2 linked regions of the Tribolium castaneum genome follow. The protein of the gene in region 2 interacts with the protein of the main gene of each other region in a biochemical or structural test. Links are inferred from orthologs where the notes say so. Each region holds a gene or a part of one and is shown on either strand. Other genes may lie near its edges.

Region 1 (12,858 bases), on a different chromosome or scaffold from region 2:
AAAGTGATTCCGGGCCGAAGAAAGGCTTATGTGGCTTACAACGGCAAGGAATACACCGTGGACCGTTTTCAAGTATTTAAGTTGGCGACATTGTCAATTTAAATTAATTTTTTGATAGGTTTTATGCGAGCAACGTTTCGATTGGGTGAAAACCACCGAAGACAAAATCCCCGAAGGGGCAGTTGAAGGTGGGAGAACCGTCGATGGGGAACCCCTGTATATTGGCAGAGTGGAACATGAGGGCTCGCATACTGTCGGTAAAGTAGGTGTCTATTTTTGTTTACTTGGAGCAAAAATAAATATTTGGGTTTTTAGGTGCACCCCAGTTACAAATGTTGTTTGATTCCGTTTGATGGGAAAGAGTTGAGATTTACGGAGTACGAGATTTTGATACTGCGGCCTTAATTGTGTGTTTGCACCTCGTATTATTTGTTTTATAAGTAAATAAAAACCTTCTAGACTTCAAGAGTTTGTTGTTCTTTTAGCTCTAACAAATCTCGTGATATTTATTAATGATAAGATAATGAGATTTATTAGCGTTCTGCGAACTGGTAACAGTTTAACACAATGGAAGGTGAGTACCGTTTTTCTGATTTTCCTTGTTTTCGGAAAATGGGTTGTAGGAGGCTATGGTTTTAGACCGGAATTTTCCCTTTCCGCACCCTTTAATTACCCTCAATATCCCCCGAATCAAAATTTTTACCCTCAATCTCAAAATACCAGTTTTCATAATCAAGGTAAGGACCAGTTTGGGGGGTTTACCGGACTTTATTACCAAGACGGAGCAATAAATATAACACTTACTATGAAATTCACTTCCAGCGTTTCGTTGGGTTGACAGTTCCATCGCCTATGGGTCAGTGCCACCGACGGCCCTCCAAGGGGGCATGGATGGGGATGGGCATCCCATTTACGTTGGTAGAGCCTACCATGAAGGTGACTTGATCCCTGCCAAAGTGATTCCCGGCAAAAACGCCGCCTATGTCTCTCACAACGGACAGGAACACCTCGTTGAAAATTTCCAAGTAATATACTGGGTGTTTCTATTTGATATTTATCCCCTTGTAACTTTTTTTTAAAGTAAAACAAGCATTTTTATCCGCAAAAGTGACAAATATTGTGACTAAATGTCACAGGCAACAGTTCTATTTTTCGGCCATTATATGCATATGCATATTCTTGAGATTTTTTTTTCGAACATATGGACTTTTTTTGGACTTTTAACAACTCCAGAGGGATGTAAAGGCATAGAAAAGTCCATAAAACTATGCTAGAATGGGTTTGTAAAAAAAATATTTTTTTCACGTTTTTGGAAGAAAGTGTATTATTATTACTCAGAAAATTTTAGCAAAAATTCTCATTCACGGCTAAACTATTCCAGAAAGTGGAACTATTTTGTTCCATACCTATACAAAATGATCCGGGGAATCGATTGGCATCGAGAAAATTGCCAAATTCCCAATAGTTTTTTAGTTATGAATTTTTTAAAATTTTACTAATTTTTGCATTTATCTCCAATTTGCTCGAAAACTATTAGTCGGAGAACAATAATTTTTTTTGAAAAAAATAGATAATATAAAGAGCTTTCCAACGATAATACACTTCGTAGGGTTATCTCTAAAAGTTCCGGAGCTATTGCTTGACAAAAGTTCCGGGTACCGAAAATCGACAAAATTTGCGACGAAAATTGAAAAAATCAAACATCAAAAAATCGAACATATGGACTTTTTGTGGACTTTTAACAACTTTTGTGGGTTGTTAAGACATGTAAAAGTCCATAAAAATTTACTGGAGTGAGTTTAAAAAAAATTTTTTTTCACCACTTTGAAGGTAATTTTAGCAAAAAAATTGAAAATTTTAGATCTCGTGAAAAGTTGGTATAATACAGAAAATGAGCCGCTGAATTCAATGGAACAAACCGCATTGCTCCTCGACTTTTAGTTTTCGAGTTATGAATTTTTTAATAAATAACCCGGCGCATCCACCAATTTTAAAATTAAAATATATATTTTTTTAAATTTCTCGAGTAAGCTAGTGTTGTGAAAAGGCTAGTATTCTAAGCAATTTAAGCAGCAGAATTCACTGCAACAAACGGTTTTGCTCTACGACTTTTAGTTTTCGAGTTATAAATTTTTTGGTTGAATAAAATTTTCCACTATAAGAAACAACTATCTTAATTTTTAGCAAAAAATTTTAAAACTTTAGATCTCGTTAAACGTTGGTATAATTCAGAAAATGAGCCGCTGAGTTCATTGGAACAAACCGTTTTGCTCTACGACATTTAGTTTTTGAGCTATGAATTTTTTTTGTTGAATATGGGAAAATAAAGCCCTTTTATATTTTGTTTTATAATCTCGTTATTTAATTTTTTGTATCTGTACAAAAACTAAAAGAAAACAATTTTTCTTCCACCTTGCAAGGTTAATTAATAAGGAAAACGAATTTATTTATTTTTTAAAATTTTCAGGTTTTATGTAAACAATACTTCGAGTGGGTACAATCGCACGCCGGCCACTTGCCACCAGGGGCGGTCCAAGGGGGGCACACCAGCGAAGGGGAGCCCCTTTACATAGGCCGCGCCTACCACGAAGGCTCCCAAACAATTGGCAAAGTACTTAACTCACCCTTATAAATTTTAACCCTTGATCATTTATTTTCCAGATACACCCCAGCCATGGTGTCTGCTACATAGCATACGGCGGCGAAGAAATCGCTTGTCCCGAATACGAAACTTTAGTCCTTAGAATGTAAATAAAGTCATTCTTGTACCCCACTATTGTTCATCTCCGCATCTTCCTCCTCCTCTTCCTCCCCCTCCATTTCATACAAGCGCACCTTCCTCCGATTTTCCGCCAATACGATACCGACACGTCGACTCCCCGACACTGCAAACTCCGCCCCCACCATCCCCTCCACACACTTAAACAGCTTCGGAACCAAACACGAACCGTTCAAACTAACCACGTTAACCGCACCACTAAAAACACGATCTGTCTCCCCCCCATCCACAAACTTGTCCAAAACGCCACCTATCGGTATCTGACTTAAAACTGTAGCTTTAGAAACGGTGTTTTCTTGCAATAAAACCGACAATACTGCACTCGAATATAGTTTAATATCGATCACGTGATAATTATCCTCGGAATTGTCACGGGGGAAGTACAGACGCGCACACTTTATGAAACAATTGCCATCGTCTAGATACACCTGCAGGCCTAGAACGGTCTCAGGCGGCTGCAAGTAACAAAAAAGAATCGATTCTTTGTTTAAGTTGACTTGGGACGTCCGTAACGAATCGCCGCAAAATTGGAAACAATTGAAGTCATTCAAATGACTGAACTGCCTACTAATTTGCTCTCTAGGTGTCGCGAAAATCGCATCGACGCTTTGCTTCAAATGCTTGTACTGTTGTATCAGCGACATCTCTTTGAAGTGCCTCAAAATGGAACTATTTTTTTCGATGCATTGGTTCTGGGCCAAAAAATCAGTCCATTCGTTCCCGGACATGTCTGGTTGGATCGTCAAATTGCCATCGCTTAAATATTGCCCCAACCGCTCCATAATGAACCCCTTTTGTTTGTTATTCCGACTGATGTGGTCAAAGTTTTGCAAAAATTCGGTGATGTAAGCCAGGTCTTGCTGAGTCATTTTGGGGATTTCGTTCGGTATTGGCTCATCCAGAACGTGCATTATTGCCGTGTAGAGCCAGCGGAAGAAGGCCTTGTAATTGATGATGGAGTGATTGATGATTTGCTGCATTTCGCTGCCTTTGATCAAGAAGGCGCCGTTCGAGGAAATGGCGCCGGTAATGGCGGCCGCGTCCAAACCCAAAACCTACAATCACCCAATCACCATTTTTTACACTAATAACTTCTTTTCAATTGAAACGCGTCCTAAACGTGGGAGCGAAAAGCCGAAAAAGGCGTTTTAAAGCCGTCAGGGGTTTCCCCGAATATTTTGGACTTTTTTCACGTAGTATTTGCTCGATTTTAAACTAAATATTTATTTATTTTGCCAGATAGTATTTTGTTCGTTTAAAAAATCAGACACTATATTCGTTTCAAAGCAAACCTGATTGATATTTGTTTGTTTCACTCAATGTAGCTTGTTGCGTAAAATTTCGTCTAAAATACGCCTGTTTTTTAACTATTTCTCAGACTTTGAAATTATCGAACTAAATGTGATTTTTCCATTTTTGTGCATTTTTGATGGTTTTTCTTGCCAAGTTCACACAAAATTAAATTTTAATTTTTTTGTTGAGTTGGCAGCCACCACACACTTGTACCAACCTTATAGCGGTGTTCCAGTCTTGCCATCCCCCTCATTTCGGCCAAGTGATAGGTAACATTCTGCCCAAACTTCATCACATACTTCAGCATCAACTTCTGAATGTTGGAATAACTCATCTCAATCGTCTGCCCGAACTTCTCCAACCCTTTCTTCGTTAAATCGTGTATGAGAAAGGTCTTCATCTCATCCGAGCAAATTCCAAACGTCAGCAAATCCAAAAAATCAGCCGTGACGCCCCCTTCTGGCACCTTGCTCGCATATTTCGACAACTTGTTGTCCATCTCCAGCAAAATGCTCTCCCAGGACTCGGTGATGGTGGTAATAGTGTTGGAGAGATAGGTCACCAGTGAGGTCAATTTTATGTGTTTGAGGGCCAAAGCGAACAGTTCGTTTGTGTGCGTTTTGAAAATTTCCGAATCGAAACAAATCAATTTAACGTTGTTTTCGTTGTCTCGCACTGTGAAAAACATGCGGTTCAGGTCCTCGTTCAAATGCATGTTCTGGATGGAGCAAAGACAGTTGAGAGTTTGCTTCAAGTCAAGGGAAGCGCACGGGAAACAACCGAAAACTCGCACGTGCACGGTGCCCTCACTTGTCCCAATCAGGAGCAAATTAAAGTCGGTTTGCTCTTGCAAAATGTTGGTTTTCTGACCATCGTCGTTGTTGGGGGAATCGAACTGTTGTAGCACCGGTTCGGGCAAAAAATTACCCGATAAGTCCTACAACTGGGAAATTAAACGAGCACTAACATTCGGGTTTTTTTACAATGTGTTTCATGTACTGATTCTGTTTACTGTCTTCGTCAACTGAAGGCAGTTTCCCTTTAACAGTCCGGTCTTGCAACCAATTGAGACATGAAACTTCGCCCTTGATGTCAATAGTGTGCAACACCGACTTATTCTCGACCTTCACAAGCAGTATTTGGCCTGAAATTGCACAAAACAATGGATTTAAATTATTTCCAATACTTTTTTTACAATATTTTACCAGAACTGTACGCAATTGCTATGATTTTGCCGTCAGGCCTCCAGGCAATACTTGTGACCTTTAACCCATCCTTGGGGGCACTGAGACTCCACGCTTTGGTCCAAGTGAGTCGATGAAGAGCCACCTCTCCTACAAAGACACCCAAAAATGCCGGTTACTGCAAATGGGGGTTACCTTTGATATTGGCAAGAGCGACAAGGTCCATACGGTCGCTCCACACCATTTGAACAATCTCACTGGCCACATTGCGCTCTTCGAGCTGTTTAATCGCCTGAACTGTGCTCATTTTCCAACAATTAGTAACAAAAAACAATTTTCAAATTGTAAGGTTACGTTTAATTCTGTCATGGGTACCAACTGTGCGTCTGGACCCGATTTGCTTTATTTAGCCAAATGTGCACAAACAGGCCTAGTCAGGCGTTACGATTCACTTTAGGGTTGTAACCACAATAGATAAACCAACATTTTTGTTATTGTTGGCTTTAAAATGCATAATTTTGTACTTTTTTAAAAGGTAGAGGGTTGGTAACGCTGACCGTTTGTTGAAATTGGTGTCCCAGGTGTCTTGATTACTTCGTTCCAAGTTGGAATTAAACAATCACCATGGATAATTTAGAAGCAAATATCATGGACAAGTCAATGCGTTCGGTCTTTGGTACAAATTATTTAAATTTTAAGTGATAATTATAACCCCATTGCTTCCAGTGGGCAACATCCCCTACGAAGCCACCGAAGAGAAGCTCAAAGACATTTTCGGCGAAGTAGGCCAGGTCCTGTCATTCAAGTACGTTGCCCTGCCCCCTGAAGCCCCCTAACGCCTGAATTTTAGGTTGGTTTTCGACCGCGAGACAGGCAAGCCCAAAGGCTACGGCTTCTGCGAGTACCGCGACCAGGAGACGGCGCTCAGCGCCATGCGCAACCTCAACGGGTACGAGATCGGGGGGCGCAACCTCCGGGTCGACAACGCCTGTACCGAGAAATCGCGCATGGAGATGCAAAACTTGCTGAACCAGCCCCCGGTCGAGAACCCCTACGGCGAGCCGATTCAGGCCGAGAAGGCCCCCGAGGCCATCAGCAAAGCCGTGGCCTCGTTGCCCCCCGAGCAGATGTTCGAGTTGATGAAGCAGATGAAGCTCTGCATTCAGAACAACCCCACTGAGGCCAGGCAGATGCTGCTGCAGAACCCCCAGTTGGCGTACGCTCTGCTGCAGGCGCAGGTGGTTATGAGGATTATTGACCCGCATACGGCGGCTGTGAGTTGGGGGTTTGGGGGCGTATTTATATTTTATTGGGGGGTTTTAGACAATGTTGCATCCGCAAAATCCCGTTCCTTCGTCTTTGACGCCCAAGGAAAAGACTAATCCAGGCCCCATTCCGATTAACAGTAATTATGTCTCGAATCCCACGCCTGTGCAGCCCCCAAGACAGGACTTTCAGCCGGTGCCAGCCCCCGCGATTCATAATAATTCCAATCCGGTCTTCACAGGTGATTTTTTTTATCACAATTGATTATAAATAATAATAATGTTTGCGTTATTGCAGGTCAAGACGTTGATCTAAGATCACTGGACCCCCGAGGGGCTGATCCTCGCCTCAGCCGCCTGGGCGACCAGGACATGCGCACTTTGCCCGGACAACTCCCCAACCCCCTTCCGCCGCCACTTGTCGAAAAGTAAGTAAAATAATTCAACCTTGAGCCCTTTTACTCAAATTTAAACAGTTTCACTAAGCAGGATCAGAAATTGGAAAGGTAAATAACCATTTACAATTGATTAGAAATACAATTTACTGATACTTTTTCTTAGCTTTAATAGGGACCCACGTGGAGGTCCGGCCAACTTCCCATCTGATCCGAGACAACAACAGCGAGCTGACCCAAGACAGAAAAATATGCGTATGTGTGAAGTACGTAATTGAATTGGTTGTTGAAAGTCTGATTTTAGCCCCTCAGCAAAACGCGATGCCTCCGCAGCCGGTCAGAGCCCCGCAGGGGCCCCCCAGTACCCCCCAAGTTCGCCAAGCTGCCAATGTTGCTTCAAGTATAGGTACAGCTGGGGCCTCAGACCAGGAAAAGGCGGCCCTGATTATGCAAGTCCTGCAATTGTCAGATGAGCAGATTGCAATGCTGCCACCTGAACAGCGTAATAGTATTCTAGTTTTGAAGGAACAAATCGCCAAAAGTGCACACCGTTGATTAATTAAGTCATTTCCCCAAATCAGTTTAATTTTTACAGTTTACATGATAATTAAAAAATCTTTAAAATTATTAACATAAACACTATTTACAGTATTGTGTATATATCATTTAAAAATCAACAACAAAAACGCACCCTCTAGAAAGTACAAAATAAATGAGCGATTCCTTCGGTTGTTTACGATTAAATTGTAAACAAGAGGTGGATTTATTCGTTTGCAACTTTCAGTTACAAATCTGGTTGTAATGGTTTTGTTAAAAAATTAGCTAGTTCGGCACGTTGGTACTTCTTGAATGGACGATCCGTCTAAAGCGCTTCCTTCGATCTGGTAACCCATGCTCGCCAACATTGATTCGAATGGGTCCATTGACATGCGATGCTGATTTGTTTCGACTACAGTGGAGATGCATTTGACGATTCGGTTGTTCACTTTGCCGTCCTAAATAAACGACAACGGAAACTCCAACATTAATAAAATTAATAGAAAAAAGTTACTATATTTCGGAGAAAAATTTCCGATCAAGTGACTAAGTTATCCGTTTTCGAAAAATCATACTAGCCTTTTTTTTGGAACCTTTATCGAATTAAAAAAAAGCCGTAATGTAGAGTGGCCAACTTAATTTCAAAGTGAGACCAGCAATTGTGCTTACCTCAGGCCGAGGCGACCATATTTTAACGGCCGTATCAATCCCGCTGGACGCTATAACACAGGCACTAGGGTGTGGTTGAATGCAATTAACTATCGAGTTATCTCCAAAGAGAGCCCTAACCACATTCATACTCTTCTTATCCCAGATAAAAATGATCCCTTCGTCCGATCCTGCACAAATATAATTATCACAATCACCTGAAAGCCGCCGTGAAAAAACCAACACTCTACAACCACCACAAACAACCTAAAAAATTCGCCTCCTTGATATCAGTCGTGGTATTACAATGCCCTATGTAAATCTTCTCAAAATCGAACGAATCCAAACGTAACTTTTTCTCATCATCTTCCACCTTCTTCACTCCCGTCTCCTCAAACTTGACGCTGTTTTTGAGCGCTTGCAACTCCTCAACGAGGAATTTCACCTGCGAGGAGGTTTCACATTCGGGGTAAAGTTTTGTAAAGTGTTTCAACCAAGCGTTGGCTTCGTCTTCCCACTTCATGGCAATTAGGCATTTGATTAATCCAATGTAAGCCTGTTTATGGTCCGGCCAATGCTGAATCACGTGTAAATAATCACGTGCTGCCGCATACAAATCGCCCATCCTAACAAGAAAAAAAAAATTAACAAGCCTTTTTTTTTGGCTATTTGTCTCAATACCACTTGCGTTGGTACGCCTGTAGCGCCCGCCTCATGTAAAAGCAGGCACAGTCCGTGTTTTTCTCAAACAAGTCGGCGCTGACCCCGTTAAGTTCAGCCAACAGTACGTTCTAAAAAAAATTGCATTTTCCTAGTAGTGACTGGGGGGATAATTACCGGTTGGCAACAATTCCGGTAGGGTTGATGGGGCCGTTTAGGTAAGTTTTGGGGGATTTTGAGTTCGTTAATGTGTCGGCTATTATTTACATCAAATAAATAAATCTGTTCACCCCCGATATTTACCAACATTTCTGAACCGGCGGAATTGAACGCGATATAAGTGACTGATAGTTTGATGCTCATAATGCCGGCATTTTCGCGTGCCAGGTGCCCGGGGGCGTAGTATTGCACACAGTCGCTGTTTTGGGGCTGCGGGGACGTCCTCTTCGACGGATTAAACGACAAATTCGCCTGAAAACCCAAAAAATGCAAGTTTTTCCCCAACATTTTACCTATTTTACCATTGATACTTTGATCATCCTCCTGTCATACAAGCGCACGAAGCAGTCGTTGGCGCCTATTGCGATATAGTGCGATTTTGTGGGATTCACAGCAATGCATTTGATTTCCGATTTGAAGCTTAGGTCGACTAAGACCTTGCTTTGCGTGGGACACTCGTGGGGTTCCCGCAAGTCGTATTGCCTGCAAGTGAGTTAAGGTGTTTGGTTGGGCAAAACAGTTGCCTTACACAACTAGGCCATCTTCGCCCGCTGACCAGAACAGAGTAGGCTGGTCGGGGGCCGTGGCCAGGCGTTTGACCCGGCCGATGTGGCACGCGCAGTCCAGCAAGGGGGCGCTCTTGTCGAGGGCCCCCGACACGCTCTGGACCACCACTCGGCAATCCCCGGCCGCCGTCGCGATGACATTTTCGTCGGCTAAAAACTGCAAAAACGCTCAGATTCGGTGCCAAAATGATCGGGTTGTTTACTTTAACGGAAAAGATATTGCCAATGTGTGGGGTCGGGATCACGTTTATTTGCTTGTGTCTGAAGGGGTCCCAGAGGATGACGTTGGTGTCGTCGGAGCCGGACGCCAGGTGCCTGCGAGTGAACGGTCAGTTGCTGCAAGGGGCTAAAGGCACTTACAGTCCGTTGGGGCTCCATTCCAGGCAGTTGACGCAGCCCTGGTGCCCCTCAAGCTCCGCCTCGAGTCCTAACCTCTGGATGAAATTGGCGCTGAATTGGGTGCGCTGTTTGAGGACTTTTGCTGCGGTGCTGTTCAGTTCCCGGCATTGCATCAACTTTAACACGTTACGGTTGCTTTTCCATCCTTTTATTTTGTTTTCCATCTGATTGAAGAGTCGCTATCAGGATCAATGTTTGCTGCAAGGTCAACAGGACTCACCTTTGCTTTAGCAAATCGGGCATCATAAATACAAATTTTTCGAAAATTTCATCATAAAATTACGGCTTTACGTGACGATTGAGGCCTTAATTGCTTTTTTGAAAGATGTCAAAAGATACACTCATTTGTTTTTGTTTATGGAGGTCATGGACAGCGTGAAGCACAACCGCACAAAACGAAAATCCCCAGATTTTACAAAATTCAAGTCGCGAAAAAGTTCAAACAAAAAAGACAACCGTTTATTTTGTAGATTTTATTTGATTTGTCGTATAAATAATAATTTATTACAATAACATGCACAAACAATAATAAAATACAAAACTATAATAAACAGTTAATCCGCAACAATAATTTACTCGTTCCTTAACCACAATACTGCCCGGTTAGTACTCGTAGCACCTTCAACAAATAACATGGATCGGAATGGTGGAGTTCTTGGAGGCCACCTTGGCCAGGAGCCTCTCCCCCAGCTCCTTGGAGGCCTCATGCCAGACACACTTGCCAATGATGGGGACCTCCTCCAAAGGGGGCCTAAACGCCACTAGCAGCGTCAAACAAGCCCCGTCTTTACGGTCGCGCGGGTCATACTCCACCTACAACCCCCTTTCAACCTCCACACTCTAAAAATTCAATAAACCCACCGAAAGCAACCCATGTGGCCTGTGGGGCCCCACGTCAGCCCCGAACAAATCCACCATAAAGCGCTTCAAAGTCGAATGCAGATTTTTCGACGGGTGGATTTCACAAGTGGGTAAATGCCACGAAGTCTTCTCGCTTATTAAAACGTGGACGCGATTCGTGGCTTTTTTCTTTATTACGACGACTAGTCGCAGGAGGAGTCTGGAATGGGGGCGAAGACACGGAAGTTGGTCTTTGTGCCAGGTTTGGTCGCGGGCTTTTCTTGCCTCTTTGAACGCCCTGATAAGAGCGATAAAAAACAGTGCCAAAAAATTGCAAGATGACGACGACGCTAGTCGCTGAAGATTCAGTATTTCATGTAAAGTGATAGTGTTTGAGGGTGGGTTTAGGTGAAAAGTTTGCTTTTAGTTACGGAAAGACGTCTACGATAGCTATAGGGAATACAGGGAGGATTTTAAACGCGTTGTTAAGGAAAGGGAGCAAAATAGAACCAGCTTTTTCCACAAGTCACCTCAAGTAAGTCAGACAGATTATTGTGCTCTCATTTAAAAAAATTACAATTAAGTGCTATTAAGTCCAGTATGTTTAAACTACCACAAAGTTTAAAATTACGCTTTCGTAAAAATCATTGTGGTGGAAATTGGGTACAAAGGACTGTAACTTTATTTGCTTATTAATAAAATTATGTGGTAATAATTCTACTTAGCGAAGAACTATAAGTTAGGAGACGAAACGATATACAGAATCGCACCCAAAAGATGTAGTACGGCAGTGTAAAAATGAGGGCGCCTCGAGCGTTAACCGTCTCGGTGCCAAATCGTTTTAAATTAATTTAAATTCAACCAATTCACTAATAACTTGGAAAAAAATGCAGAAATGTTGAGCTTTGCATTCTCAACAGAGTGAGAAAAACTGTAGACTAAAATTTTCATAAGAAATATGAGAAAAAAATTATTTAAGATTTAAAATTTGCGCTTCGACCCGTATTTTTCAAAACGCTGCGAATACGGTTAAAGATACAAGAAAAATGTTCAGAAGAAAGTTGTAGAGAATTAAATTTCCTTTAAAAATGTCAGCGGGACCATATCTTTATCTTCAATAGTTTAGGCCCTAAAAACGTTCAAAGATGCTCAAGCGACGGATTTCCACCATTTTGTCGGTGGTCAAGTATGGGAAAGTAAATTTATACCTAAACCGTTGGAGATAGAAATATGGTGTCGCGGACTTTTTTGTAGAAAATTTAATTCTCTACAACGTCGTACCTTACACTTTTTTGTATCTTCAACCGTATTCACAGCGTTTTAATAAATAGGCGACGGTGCCCAAAAAATTATGACTTAGAATTATTACGTTCTTTTTGCTATATTAATTAATAATATTAGTATTGATCAAAATATTAAGATTTCAGATGTCATTATAAAACTTCGTTTTCCAGCAAAAAATATAATTAATTAATTAATTTTAATTATAAAAAATATTGTATAAAAATTCTGAAAAAACTCACAGATATGGAGAAAAACAATTTATAATTTTATTATTATATTATATTAATTAATAATGCTTTTTGTTACCAAGTATTTGTATTATTAATACGAAAAATAATTTTTGTTTTTGTTTTAGTTCACTTATAGACCGTTTCTCGTGCGCTACATTACCAAAATCTGTAGTGAAAAATTGCTGAGTAAAAGCTGTCTACATGTGGCCGTCTATATTTTAGACCTGTTTATGGACCAACACCACATAATCCCCGAAAAACTACTTCTGGTGGCAAACGTGTGCCTTCTAACGGCCTGTAAGACGTAACTTATTGCACCCCAAAAAAAAAAAAAAAAAACCCTAAAATTATTTCAGCAAAACTGGAAGAAAATTCACAAAAAATTCCCCGAATCAGCGAACTAAATTTATTAGTTGGCAACAAATACTCAATCGCTGATTACATCAAGTTGGAGTATTACTTAAACATTCATATGTTTCAACATGACGTAAAGTTTCAGAGTGCTGTGCATTACGTATTTTACTTCATGCAGGAATTTCTAACTAGTGGCGATTTAAAA
Region 2 (12,830 bases):
CAACAATTTCCCTAGTTCCAGGGTCTTACTACACTTTTTATCTAGTGACAAAAGTTTCTAATTATTTGGAGGAATTTTATCAAAATAAACAACCATGAATTAGTTTGAAAATGGTGCTTTTTGTTTATTTAAAGGCTGCTGCATTACTCTAAGAAAACAATTATTTCTCTTTTTCTAAACTGAAAATTGCTTTTAGGTATCGTATTTTATGGATTCGAAAATAAATTGCGTTTAAGTTTGTTAGTCTGTAGTTTATTTTAACTTCTTTCTTTCTACCAAATGTTGATTTTGTCTCCTTTTTCTAAAGCGTATGTTTCTCTCGACTTATCTTTAGTCCAGGTCTGCCATCGAGTAAAATTATTAATTACAGCATATTTTAATGCTTATAGCAACAGTTATAGCTGTGGTTACAGAAATTTAATTAAGGTACATATTAAATGCCCAATATTTTATTTAAATGACAAGTATTTTTGTTCAGCAAAAATGATACATACCCAGTAAAAATAATAAATGTGCAGTAAATAATAGTATTTCAAAACTGGAGAGTCTATATTCCCACATTTCGAGTTCTACGCTTTCGAGTTTAATCGTTTGAGGGGTATGTTTCCTTTTAGTTTGCTTGGGCAAAGCCCCAGCCTGCAGGCTACCAACTGTACGTCGCTGTAGCTCCATAAAAATTATGATTCCACGACGTGTTCGAGAGGTGTCATCTATTAGTTCGCTGGGGCCCCAGGCTAGCTACTGAGCGTTTATTTAAACTGTGCAAACTAAAATTATATGCTTGGTTTTTAACTGTGCAAAATATTATATTATACCGATCACTGTTTTTTACTGTGCAAAAATTAATTAAATATTGAGCATTTATTATTTTTTACTGATTAAAATCGGATTTATTACTGATCGCTTTATTTTTACGTTTCTACCTATTTAATTATAATTGGTGCAACAAAGCGCCAAAATTTAAACTGAAATTGCCTTGGGCTTTACGGTGCGCGTGCGCAAACCCGACCTAACCTAAAATATTTTCTGTTGTGCTTCAACAATTCAAAATGCATAGAATGTGGAACCGGGCTTTTTTTGCACTCGGTGCAACTGTTCTTCCAATGATTTTGAATTACTTAATCAAACGAAGACATAAATTTAAACTGAAAAAGTTACGAGATGAAAAGTGGGACCAGGACAGTAGCTATTACCACTGTATTTTTTTCACGATGAAAAACGTGATGTGTTCAAGTCATTTTAATACACATACAGCATGTGAAGATAATTGTTCAGTCACACATTTAAATACGCTGTTACGGTTCCTAGGATCAGCAAAATACTCCATATCTTTGTGCATGTATATGGTCACATTGAAGCAAGTTACTGACGAGCTAATTAAAGCCGAAGATCGCGGTGTGAAAGTTAGAATAATCACAGACCACGTTATGTACAAAATGGAACGTTCTAAAACTAAATTGCTGAAAGAACGATACGGTAATTCGAAATTTTTCAAATATTTTTCCGGAAAAATAATCAAAATTGTAGGTTTTGAGGTTCGGACGCCCCCTTATCAAGACTCCTTGATGCATCACAAATACTGCCTTGTCGATGCTGAGGATCCAAACTTGCAGAAAATGTTCCTAGGATCACTGAATTTAACAGTTCAAGGGTGTCTCAAAAACTTTGAATTCGTATGCATCACAAATAATTCAACGATGATTAAAAGGTATAATGAAGAGTTTGAATCACTTTGGACCACGTTCGAAAACTCAGACATTTTTCTTTAGAGATGTTTATTCAAAATAAAATTAACAAATACATTATTTTTTTAAACCGTTGATCTCTGGTGTGCATTACGAGTTTAGTAATGAAATTAAATTCCAACAATGCTAAATATTAGCACCCTTATTCTTCTAAATCTAAGTCGTTTAGTTCTTCATCTAAAGCTTCTAAATCCTCCTCAAGGAACAAATTTTCATTGATGGGTACTGCAGATGCACCTTCTTCACCATTTTCTGTTACTTTTGAGCTTGTCTTCAGCCGGTCTTCAGAGGCCACAGTTCCAGTCCCGTCAACCTAAAATAATTAAAAAGTGAAATTATTGGACGCTAAACAAAAACGTAATCAAGAGTTCTGTGGAAATTTCAAAATGTCAAATGTGTATATTTTTCAAAACGCTGCGAAAACGGTTACAGATGCAAGAAAAATGTTAGGAAGAAAGTCGTGGAGAATTATTGGAATAGTATATTATACGAGTTTTATAAGACGTTCTATTAAAGCTCGAATGGTTTTGGAGCACGACGAAGGAGTGCTCCATTAGAATGAGTGCCACAATTAAGTCTTATAAAACGAGTGTAATATACTATTTTTTCTACTTTTTATTTTTGTTTAGTTTAACTTATCAAAATCTGTTCAAACTATTTCCCCTTAATTTTGTTAATTAATTCGGGCTTTATCAATAAACGACTTGTCGCTGTTGACAGATTACACACTAAATTAAGTGATGACTGATGACACCCAGCCCAGCACTGCCAATACAACTCCTACAAAGTTACTAAAAGGAGTTGCATAAAAGTTCTTTTTGTGAAACAAAAAAATTTTACAATGAACAATTTGTGAAACCAAAGTGGAAAAAATCATTTGTTATCTAAACCGTTGAAAATATTATTTAGAAATATAGTGTCGCGGACTTTTTTGTAGAAAATTCAATTCTCTACAACTTTGTTCCTTATACTTTTTTGTATCTTCAACCGTATTCAAATTGATAGTTCAAAGTGGTAATTCTTTGCGCACTGTCGCATATTTATCAAAACGCGTTTTTATAGTTTTGAAACAGTTAATACACGTTTATAAAATCTACAGAGCACGCTTGACTCAGGACAGTTTATTTTTCAACTTACCTCTTCGGCACTAATTAGATCTAAATTGATTTCTTTATAATCCGCTTCATCATCTTCGGTGTCTGAATAATTGTAAGAATCAAACGCTTCATCGCCTTCATCCATGTTATTCTGCGCCGCCAATTCAGGATTAAAACTAAACATTTCTCTACCACTAAGTCCGACTTGTTTGCCTGCCTTAAAGTCGGTTCGTTTTTTGTCTTCATCCCGTTTTGCGGCGTCTTTTTTTTCCTAAATTCAAATAAATGTGTTAGAATTGTTTTAGCACCTCCGTAAATAAAACAAACCTGAATTTTACGTTTTTTCCACGCTAAAAATGTCTCTAACGTGACTTTAGTTTGAGTAGAACCTAGTGCTGCTCTTTCCTTTTCAATTAGATCTTCCAGTGATATTTCATCACGTTTGTCGTCTTTTTTCTTATCTTTCTTTAACGTGAAACCTGGTGGGAGAGCGTGTCTGTAAATACAGCTTTCTCCAGAGGGACATTGCCAGAACCAGCCATACTTTGATTTTTCTACAGCTTCCAAGAAATGTTTACAAATCTGAAATTAGACAATTACACACTTTAAAAACAGTCGTGATCGCAATAGAATTTGATCAACAATAAAAATAAAATATTTTTGAAACAGTTTCCTTGGAAATAATTCTCACTATTGACACATCTAGAAATTGTGATTTTTTATAATTTTGTTTTGTTGGAAACATTTTAAGCCTTCTTTTTAATATCTAAATCCTAGATTATAAACACCATTTTAAAACGTGTTTTCATTATTTTAAAACAGGTTTCCCATAGCAACGTGTTTTAAATTTAAATGTTCCAACAAAAAAATCTTAATAACACTTATGCGAAAACGCTTAAAGTTCTCGGGTGTCTAGGTATGTAACTCGCATACGCTCGTTGCATAACGACAGCCCTCGAACTTTAAGTTTGTGTTTTCGCACTCGTATTATTATTAATAATTATTTTAATTAAAAAAGCTGTTAAAGACTGACAATTTTAAATTAAAATAATTATTCATCATCGTGTTAGGGAACGATTATTTAATGTGAAAGATAAAGACATTAAAAAATAATGAAAACTGAAGTTAACAAAATGAGTTTAAAGCTGTAGATTTTTGATATGACATTGGAATTTTTTCAAAATTTTTTCCCCAACCTACACTTGAGCATCCTGTAGTTTGTCCATTATCCAAATAGGCTTTTGCTAAAATATTTTGAAAAAAAAACTGTCAGTAAATTACATATTTTTTTTTAATGGCCACATATTTTTCAAACTTAAAAAGCAATCTTTTTTTCGATATTTTTTGGCAAAAATACACTTAATACAGGTAACCAACATTTAAAAAAAAAATAAACGTACCTATGTTTTTTGCGAAAAGGTATATGTTATAAACAATTTTATAAAAAAATAAACATTAACTTTAGTCTCTGCCAACAGTACTAAAGACAATCCAATTTATTTTTCGAAATTTTCGACATTATGTGGTTATATTATAATCAACGTATATTCCCTGATATGTACTTCCGAAACTGTTCGTTTCGTCAATTATGTTTAGTTGGTTTAGTATCGTCTAAGAATAAACAAAATATATACAAATATGTAATAATCTCTTTGGAACATTTAACGCATAAATTTGAATGAAAATAAGTTTTTTACAATTCTCTTATACAAAAATACACATAATCGTAAATTGGGTTAAAAACTATTGCAACCAATAGATTTTCATTAGAGTAATATTTCGTTCCACCTAACTGACGTTTAAAAAGCGCTTCAATTTACCCTCAAAAAATTAAAAACGTTTTAGGAATTTTTAAGATTTACATGCAAAAAATCACATTTTGCTTTTAATAGTCTGTGAAATAAAATAAAAAGTAATGAAACCCCGCTCCGGCTCTAGGTATAGAGTTTTATAATAAGAAAATCATAATTAACAAAGTATGAGTACAAGGTAATGTTGTGAGCTTGAAAAGTGTCAATGAGTTTTACTTTCAAAGCTATGTCTTTTCAGGAATAAATTAACTAGTAGTTTTCGGAATTTTCTCTATTACGTTAATTTCACAATTAAGCATCAAAACTTTAAAACTACTCTGCCTAGGCACCACAAACAGTGTAAGAAATTTTATAATTTAAGAAAACTTCGTCTGAGTCAGTGGCGCCCCCAATGGTAAATTTATTTCGAATGTTTCAATTTATGTCGGTATAGTAAATTTCTTTACACATTAGGTAACCATCTACATAAATAAAAACATTGCCGAGAATATTTTTTTCGTAAAAAACTGGTTGTAAAAATATTTAACGCAAAACAATTGTTCAAAATTTCAACTTCAACAGTTAACTGACGTAATTATGCCAATGAAATTTGTAGAGGACTCTACCACGTTTTTTTTAGACTTACAAAATCTACAGGTGATTATGAAAGACTGTGTTTCTTGTCGTCAAGTTGGTTACAAACTTGAAATCATATGTTGACAACATTAACTATCAAAATTATCAGGAATACCAATAACTCAATGTTACCAATACATTTTTGACACACCCGGTACAATTTGTAACTAAACCTTACAATGTCAGTAGTGGGCATTTTCCCCGTCTTTCCATGTTTCTTCTCTATCACTTCAAACAGCTTTTGCTCATCCCAGTTTTCCATAGTTTCTTCTTCATCATCTCTCATATCCACATACAGCGACCTTTTCTCCGCCTTCCGCTCTATACTCAAATCATGGGAAAATTTGCACTTATCACCTTTGCCGCACTGGCCCTGTTTGAAGAACGAACAAACCACAGACTTGGGATCAGTCCCTGTAAAAACTTGGTAAAAATGGAGCAATAAAAAGTGAACAAACAACCTTTCTCGACTTTCTGCGTTTGCACGGTCTTAAATAAAATAGCCATTTCCTTCTGTTCCTTCAACTTCTTCTCCTTTTCCGCTTTCTTCCCCCCATCTTCTTTAACAGGATGGTGACCCCCAGTTTTAACTTGTTTCTCGACTTGCTGTATGAATTTCTGCTGCTTGGCCCCTTTTTTATTTTTCAAACCGAAAGTCTTGTCCTAATAATTAGTTGAAAATTTGCACATTAGAATTAAATATAGAGATAAATAAAAAATCATTACATATGTACCTCAATCACTTTTTCTTTCTTTTTCTGTTCAGTTTTCTTACTGGGTGCTGCCGGTTTGGCCTTCGGTGGCATTTTTTACAGTTCTAATTGAGAGAATTAAATAATCTTGATAATTTTTTCAAAGAAAACGAAAAATATTTCGCTTTCGGAAGTTCCACATGCACAGTGACAGGTCGGGGATTTGACAGACAATTTTGACGGAAAAATAATTCACGGCTCCAACCTGACAAAAAAGTGTAGAAAAAATCGATTTACCAATAAAATTTTACATTGGTACGAGATGCCTTAAACAGTTACAGTCTTTTTGGAAAAATAGCAAAAAAGTCAATTTTTCTTGTATTTATTTTTTACAAGCGATTTTCCACTCTTTGGTTGGTTTTGTGCGGTTGGCTGCCTTTGTTTATAAATTGAATTGATCGAAGTAAAATGGCCGTTGATTTTGCGTTTGTGATCATATGTCAAACAAATCAAAAATAGTGTTGAATTAAGAAGTGTTGCATTTATTTTAATCATTTGTATGCATAACCAATGTTTAGGCTTCAATTCAACTGTAATCAATGAAGTGAAACTCTGAGGTAAAAAATGATTGTACAGGAACCAGTGCAGGTAATGTAGTTAACCTCTTCCAAATATCGAAATTATCTAAGGCCCATTTTTTGGTTTCAGGCTGCCATTTGGCATTGTTTGAATCATTATGACTACACTGATGCTGTATTCTTGTCAGAGCGATTATATGCTGAAGGTAGATACGCCTTTGCTTGCAAAAAACTGTTTTTTATAAAATCGCTTGATTTCAGTCAAATCTGATGATAGTCTGTACCTCTTGGCCACAGCTTATTACAGAAGCGGCCAAAAAGACCACGCATACCACATTTTGAAGGAAAGGACAGATGCTTCAACACAGTGCAGATATTTGCTTGGGATTTGTGCTTATGATCTTGAAAAGTAAGTTTGATAATGCCTCATAATTACATAAGTTGCACAAATGAAAACTGGCATTGAAGTTGGAATTTCTCTAATAAGAATGACTTTGGCAATTGGAATTGGGCCGCTGATAATACAAAGAGGTCATAAATCAATATAAAAATACAAGTCTTGTTTACTAACATTGTAAGAACACTAAGTCTAGTTCAGGGTTAATAGAAAGTGGAACACAATTGGTTGCTACCTTTTTAATTGTATTGAGTCTTAAGTCACAAGAGAATAATATTTGGTAATAGATGGTGGTCTAAATTATGTACATTAAAGTTAATTGTTTAAAAATATTTCAACTTTGTTAACACTTTTATGAACGCGAGAATTTATTTATTGAAAATTCAACACCACTATTTTTATTAGGTTTATTTTGTTTTTTATTATCAACATATTTCTATTGCAATTTTCGTAAAAATCTGTACTACTTAAGTGTTAACTGCGCTATAGTCGATTTTTTTTTAATTAAGGTTGGTGTAATTTTTTACCTGACAAATTCAATTTCCAAATTTTTCAAGTTGTCTCCAATTTAAAACACGTACAACAACACATTTACTTATTTTAGACCACCTTTACACTAACGAATTAACGCTAACGTCCAATTTTCAAAAATGTCAAATCTGGTGTTCAAAATGTGAAATACAGAATATAGCCAGTTTTAAAAGTGGTTGGACATGAACTTTTAGGATCATATAGTCTGGTCTTTATCAGAATTTTGACACTGACAGTTGATTATAAAACAGTGAACTATACTTATAATTAATTTTATAAAGGAAACAACATATATTACTAAATAGCAACATAATAATAAAGCACTTAACACAAATTCAACGGGATGAAATAATTGCAAACAATTTATTACAGTAAATAAAGGGCCCAAAATTCAAATAAGTTGTTTTACAAGAAGCATAAAAAACTGCATAAAACTCATTCAAAACTTTTATTCTTATATCTTCACATAAGGTGCTACTGATCTAACGAATGTTTAGATATGGTAGTGGAATGAGTTATAGAATTTTAAACATACTTTTTCCAACAAATGAATTTTTCCAAGTTAACTAGCTGGACCCTTTGGACTTCAATTGTTATTATTTTCAGTTTTCTATTATGAAAATACATATTATGATTGTTTGGTTTCCGATAATGCGTATACAGCTGTAATATGACTCCTTTTTAAAAGCTTTATTTAACTTGCTTTGCTGTCTGTTCTATATTTCCTATAAAAAGCTTTGGGAGAGGTCAATTAAACAAAGCAAAAATTCGGTAATGCCGTAGTGTTATGAGTTACGACTATGACACTCCTAAAGCTTTTATAATTTTTAGAATCTAATCTGTTACTAAAAATATATTCTCCTGTGATAACTAAACATCATTTATTACTTTTTAGTGCTTCTTTTAAGTAAATGCTCTTTTTAAAAACGTTTTTTAAATTATACAGAGTGTCTCAAAATTGGTGAATTCCGAAGATTCGGAGCTTCCCCACAAAGATACATTGGTTTAAAGATTAATCTTTGAACTGCGATTTCTTCAAATCCAAGCTAAAAGTTTCAGTGTTTATTCTTATTTATTAATCATTTAAAACAATTTCTCAAAAAATATTTTCCACAATCATCTGGATCATAAACAACAATCAACACTGAAATTTTTAGCCTGCATTTAAAGAAAACGCAAAATAAAGTGCACCTGAAGTGTTTCTTCCAACCAATGTAACTTTGTGGGAAGCCTCGAATTTTTATTTTGTTTCTACATTTAAACTACTGTGATTCTCTACAACACTCTGATCTCGGAATTCGCCAATTTTGAGACACCCCGTATATTTTTTGAATATAGTAGTTGTAAAAATCACTTGTAATTCGGATCTGTTAATAGTATTTCAGAAAAAGTAAGATGTAATTCATATTTTACTTTTTTCAGTTGTAAGTAGGTTTTTAAGAAAAGTTCAAGTGAAATTCAGTGTACCAATTTTAAAACGAAGCTTTTACGTAAGCTAAACTAAGAAATGCACTGATAATTAAGAACATAGCTTTGATGTTTTGTATTTTAAATTTTAAACCCAAAATATTTAAAATTTTATTTCTGAATTACAATTAACGTTTCCTTAAATACAGTTTACTATATCCCATTTCAGTTCATAGTAGAATTGCAACAGTGCATTTGAATTTTTTGGTGTGAAAAATAAAGCACAAATTGAGAGATTCTGTATAAGAAAAGAATTCTGTGTTAAAATAAATCCCAGTGACACGTTTTGATCTAAGAAAACCCACCAGAAACTCTAAATTTTGCTCCATTTGACTCCAAAAAAAATGTAAATGCGTTGTTGTAAAATTGTACTGTGAACGAAAATGGGATATAATCTGAATTATAACTGCCTTTTTCAGAAATATACTTGACTCTTTCTGAAACATAGTTGAAAAAGGTGTATAGAAAGCTGAATAAAATTTTAATTCTTTGTTAATAGTTAGTGCACTAGAAAACGTAAGCTGTATTTTGGATGTCCGAATAGGCGATCTCCAAAACTAAGAGGTTTAGAGAAAAACGAGTGAAACATTCCGTTTTTTGAGAGAATAATTTTGGTCAAAACCGCATCCCGCTATCGTCTTTTGTTGTCGACTTATAAAAAGAAGTGGACATTTTAGCGAAATCTTAAAAAATCATATCTTCCTTATTATAAAAGATACACATTTGAAACAAAAACATTATACAGGCATTTTTTTTCAGAGAATTTAATAATGTTATCAGCGATTTTTTTAATCATTCGTTCAGCTGTAATAACATAGTTGTATTTTTTTAAATGAGAATCATAGTTGGCTATGACATTTTCGAAAAGCTAATTTTTTTCTGAACTCAAAACAATATAAATATAGTTTGATATTTTTATATATTTTTGATAAAAATATATTTAAAATATTTGAAAGTAGTCGGCCATGGAAAAATTATTTCACATAAAAGGTATGAATAATCTAGAAATTTTGTGAACGTTTATTAAAGTAAAAAATGTGATTATAAAAATAAGCTGTGTTAAAGTTATTTTCATTTAAACAAATATACGAGCGTCGCGGATTTTAATTACATAAGAAATGTGCAGAAAATTTCAAACAATGTATCACTACCATTTGATGCCACTTTTTTATGATTTAGTAAAGTGCAAAGGAGGTGACGTTAATAATGTTGTGTATTTTTTTTACCGCAGATGGAATTTGATTTTGGTGTTTGGATTGATATTTTTTTGTAAAATAAAATTTTATTGATAAGCAATCATACAATTAATAAGATTTTTCTTCTTCCGACATTTCATGTTTACAATAGGAAAATAGAATGACAACGTAAGCTTGCCATTTTAAATATAAAAACAAATAATTTTTATTAATTGCAAAAATTTGATCTAATAAAAATTTATTGTGCTGTTTTTGAATTAATTAGTGTTTAAAAAAATCATTAAATTATAAATACTTGTTGGGTAATACAATTTTCATAGTTTTAATTAAAAATCCAAAATTTTTTCATGGCCTACTATAAAGAAAAAGCGAAATGTTTTGTTTTTTCTTAAATATTTAAAATTAATGTATTACACAAATAGACATATCAGATCAGAAAAAAATTAGCTTTTCGAAAATATCATAAAAACTTTATGTTATTACAGTTAAACGAATAGTTGAAAAAAATTGCTGATAACATTATTAGATTCTCTGAAAAAAAATGTCTTTGTTTTAAATGTGTATCTTTTATATTAAGGAAGATATGATTTTTTTTTATAAACATAAGTGTTTAAAAGTCGAAAACAAAAAAAGATAGCGAAATTATTTTCTCAAAAAACTGACTCGAAAATATGTCACTGGTTTTTCTCTATACCTCTTAGGAGATCCCGTATTCGAACATCCAACATGCAGCACCCTGTACAACATACAGCGGGTAATTTTTAACTGGAATAAAATTCATAACTTTGATTTAGGCGATTTTGGTGAAATTCCCGAACAGATCAATTTTTATTTTTTCTTGCCCACTATTTGATGCATATGGTTTTTGTTATCTGTTGTCAGAAATGCACAGCCGCCTCTAACCTTTTTTTTCAAATGTAACGGTATGTCAACTGACACCTCGTATGAAAGCTCTTCTCGCAAGCATTACAACGCACTATTTGTTTTTTGAATTTTTTCAAAGCCTACGTGATAAAAAAAATAAGAACCAATTTTTATAAGTTGAACATTATTTGATTTGATTGTTCAAAATGGGCACCGTTCCTCTCTTGGGAAATAACATGACGATAGTAGCATGAATTTCTAACATTTCTAGTGTGATTTTCCTAATTTTAATTTATAAAAATTGATTTTCATTTTTTATCGCGCAGGCCTTGAAAATATTCAGAAAACAAAGAGTGGGTTGTATTCCTTGCAAAGTGCTCTTTCACATGAGGTGACACTTGACATAACCGTTACATTTGAAAAAAAAAGTGTTAGAGGTGGCTGGGCATTTTTGAAAACAGATAAACAAAAACCGCACCAAATGATGTGCAAAGAAAATCAAAAATCGACCTGTGTCAGGATTTTTTTACAAAAATCGCTTGTATCCAAGTTACAAATTTTATTTTAGTCAATATTTCCACACTACTTTAATTTTTTATCACTTGGGCATTGACAATATTTAGAAAGCAAATAATGCGTTGTACTGCTTTCGAAGTGCTCTTTTACATGAGGTGTCACACGACATACCGTTACATTTGAGAAAAAAAGTTGGAGGTGGCTGTGAGGTTTTGACAGCAGATAAATAAAAACCATATCGACTAAATGATGGGCAAGAAAAAACAAAAAGCACCTGTTTCTGAAATTTTTACAAAAATTGCCTATATCCTAGTTATGAATTTTATTTCAGTTAAAAATTCCACACTGTATAAACTGTGGTAAATTAACGACAATTTTTATATATGTTTTTTACAAAACAACAATAATTACATACTGTTTATTTCAGAATGTCATTAGAAATAATAATAAAAAAATTACCTAAATAATATTTGTATTGAAGTATTATTTAATTGTACACTCTTATTTCTGAGATTATTTATGTAACCAACTAATAGGTTATATCTTATATCAAATTCACCGTTAATTAAAATTGTGCACTTTTTAGTAGGAAATTTAATTCGCTTCAACGTTTTTGATGAACTTTCTTTGTTTTTTTGTTTTCTTAATCCTCTTCTCAGCATTTTGAAAAATATGGGACAAGTCAAAATTTTTTTAATTTTTAATAAGTATTATTATTTATTAATTATTACGCTCAATGTTACTGCGTTTTTTCCAGGCAGTTTAACGTTCGATGTGCCCTAATTTTTACTCTACCGCACTAATTTTTTAGATACAGAAGATCATTTATTTAGTATTTAGTCTTCGTAACCTTCTATTATTTATAAACACAATCATTTTTTCACAATGTTGTAACAGTTATCGTTACTTAATTTTAGCATAGCTTCAATAATGTTTTTTTTACAGATATGCTGAGGCCGAGGCAGCTTTGTTACACTCCAATAAGAGCAGCAATGACTCCGAGAATTTCGACGACATCACATCAGAATACGGTGATCAAGCACCATTCGCTTTATCTTTATTAGGTAACATAGCTGCCAAAACCGAAAGAAAACCTCGTGCCATAGATGCATGGAAACGAGCCTTAAAACTAAATCCATTTCAATGGTCAAGCTTCGAAAATTTATGCAAAATAGGAGATAAACCAAACCCCCAAAATATATTCCAAATAACAGGTGTTGAAAATTTATCAATGTGCCAGGGAAGTAATATTAACAATATCGAAAGTGTTGTTATAACAAACAACAATCCAAATCAAGATAATCAAGAGACATACGCCACA

The links.
Region 1: the proteins of Cdc27 (region 2) and APC4 form a complex in vitro, tested with the Homo sapiens proteins (2 studies listed by BioGRID). The link is inferred for Tribolium castaneum from reciprocal best matches to the Homo sapiens genes CDC27 and ANAPC4.

Annotation. Positions count from the first base shown.
Region 1 is NC_087400.1:316,081-328,938, reverse strand, and holds APC4 (anaphase-promoting complex subunit 4), read right to left. Parts: upstream 5,670-12,858; 5' UTR 5,564-5,669; coding exon 5,452-5,563; intron 5,407-5,451; coding exon 5,278-5,406; intron 5,217-5,277; coding exon 5,056-5,216; intron 5,010-5,055; coding exon 4,290-5,009; intron 3,835-4,289; coding exon 2,758-3,834; 3' UTR 2,752-2,757; coding exon of another isoform or gene 2,662-2,751; 3' UTR 2,612-2,661; coding exon of another isoform or gene 2,468-2,611; 3' UTR 2,401-2,467; downstream 1-2,400. Other genes in the region: uncharacterized protein LOC659212, read left to right, coding at 1-72, 119-262, 316-398, 555-574, 624-737, 823-1,025, 2,468-2,611, 2,662-2,751; CstF64 (cleavage stimulation factor subunit 2 tau variant), read left to right, coding at 5,881-5,932, 5,983-6,061, 6,107-6,530, 6,580-6,763, 6,820-6,949, 6,998-7,027, 7,083-7,171, 7,221-7,471; WD and tetratricopeptide repeats protein 1, read right to left, coding at 7,735-7,911, 8,123-8,319, 8,369-8,727, 8,783-8,892, 8,939-9,232, 9,283-9,463, 9,510-9,703, 9,750-9,861 and 1 more; CycJ (cyclin-J), read left to right, coding at 11,124-11,162, 11,213-11,320, 12,425-12,596, 12,656-12,858; 8-oxo-dGDP phosphatase NUDT18, read right to left, coding at 10,567-10,758, 10,807-11,083. UniProt on the Homo sapiens protein: Component of the anaphase promoting complex/cyclosome (APC/C), a cell cycle-regulated E3 ubiquitin ligase that controls progression through mitosis and the G1 phase of the cell cycle.
Region 2 is NC_087394.1:14,531,107-14,543,936, reverse strand, and holds the start of Cdc27 (cell division cycle protein 27 homolog), read left to right. Parts: upstream 1-6,403; 5' UTR 6,404-6,584; coding exon 6,585-6,608; intron 6,609-6,668; coding exon 6,669-6,744; intron 6,745-6,799; coding exon 6,800-6,947; intron 6,948-12,454; coding exon 12,455-12,830. Other genes in the region: mitochondrial cardiolipin hydrolase, read left to right, coding at 1,050-1,476, 1,528-1,769; zinc finger CCCH domain-containing protein 15 homolog, read right to left, coding at 1,888-2,058, 2,883-3,113, 3,170-3,424, 5,447-5,682, 5,730-5,931, 6,003-6,074. UniProt on the Homo sapiens protein: Component of the anaphase promoting complex/cyclosome (APC/C), a cell cycle-regulated E3 ubiquitin ligase that controls progression through mitosis and the G1 phase of the cell cycle.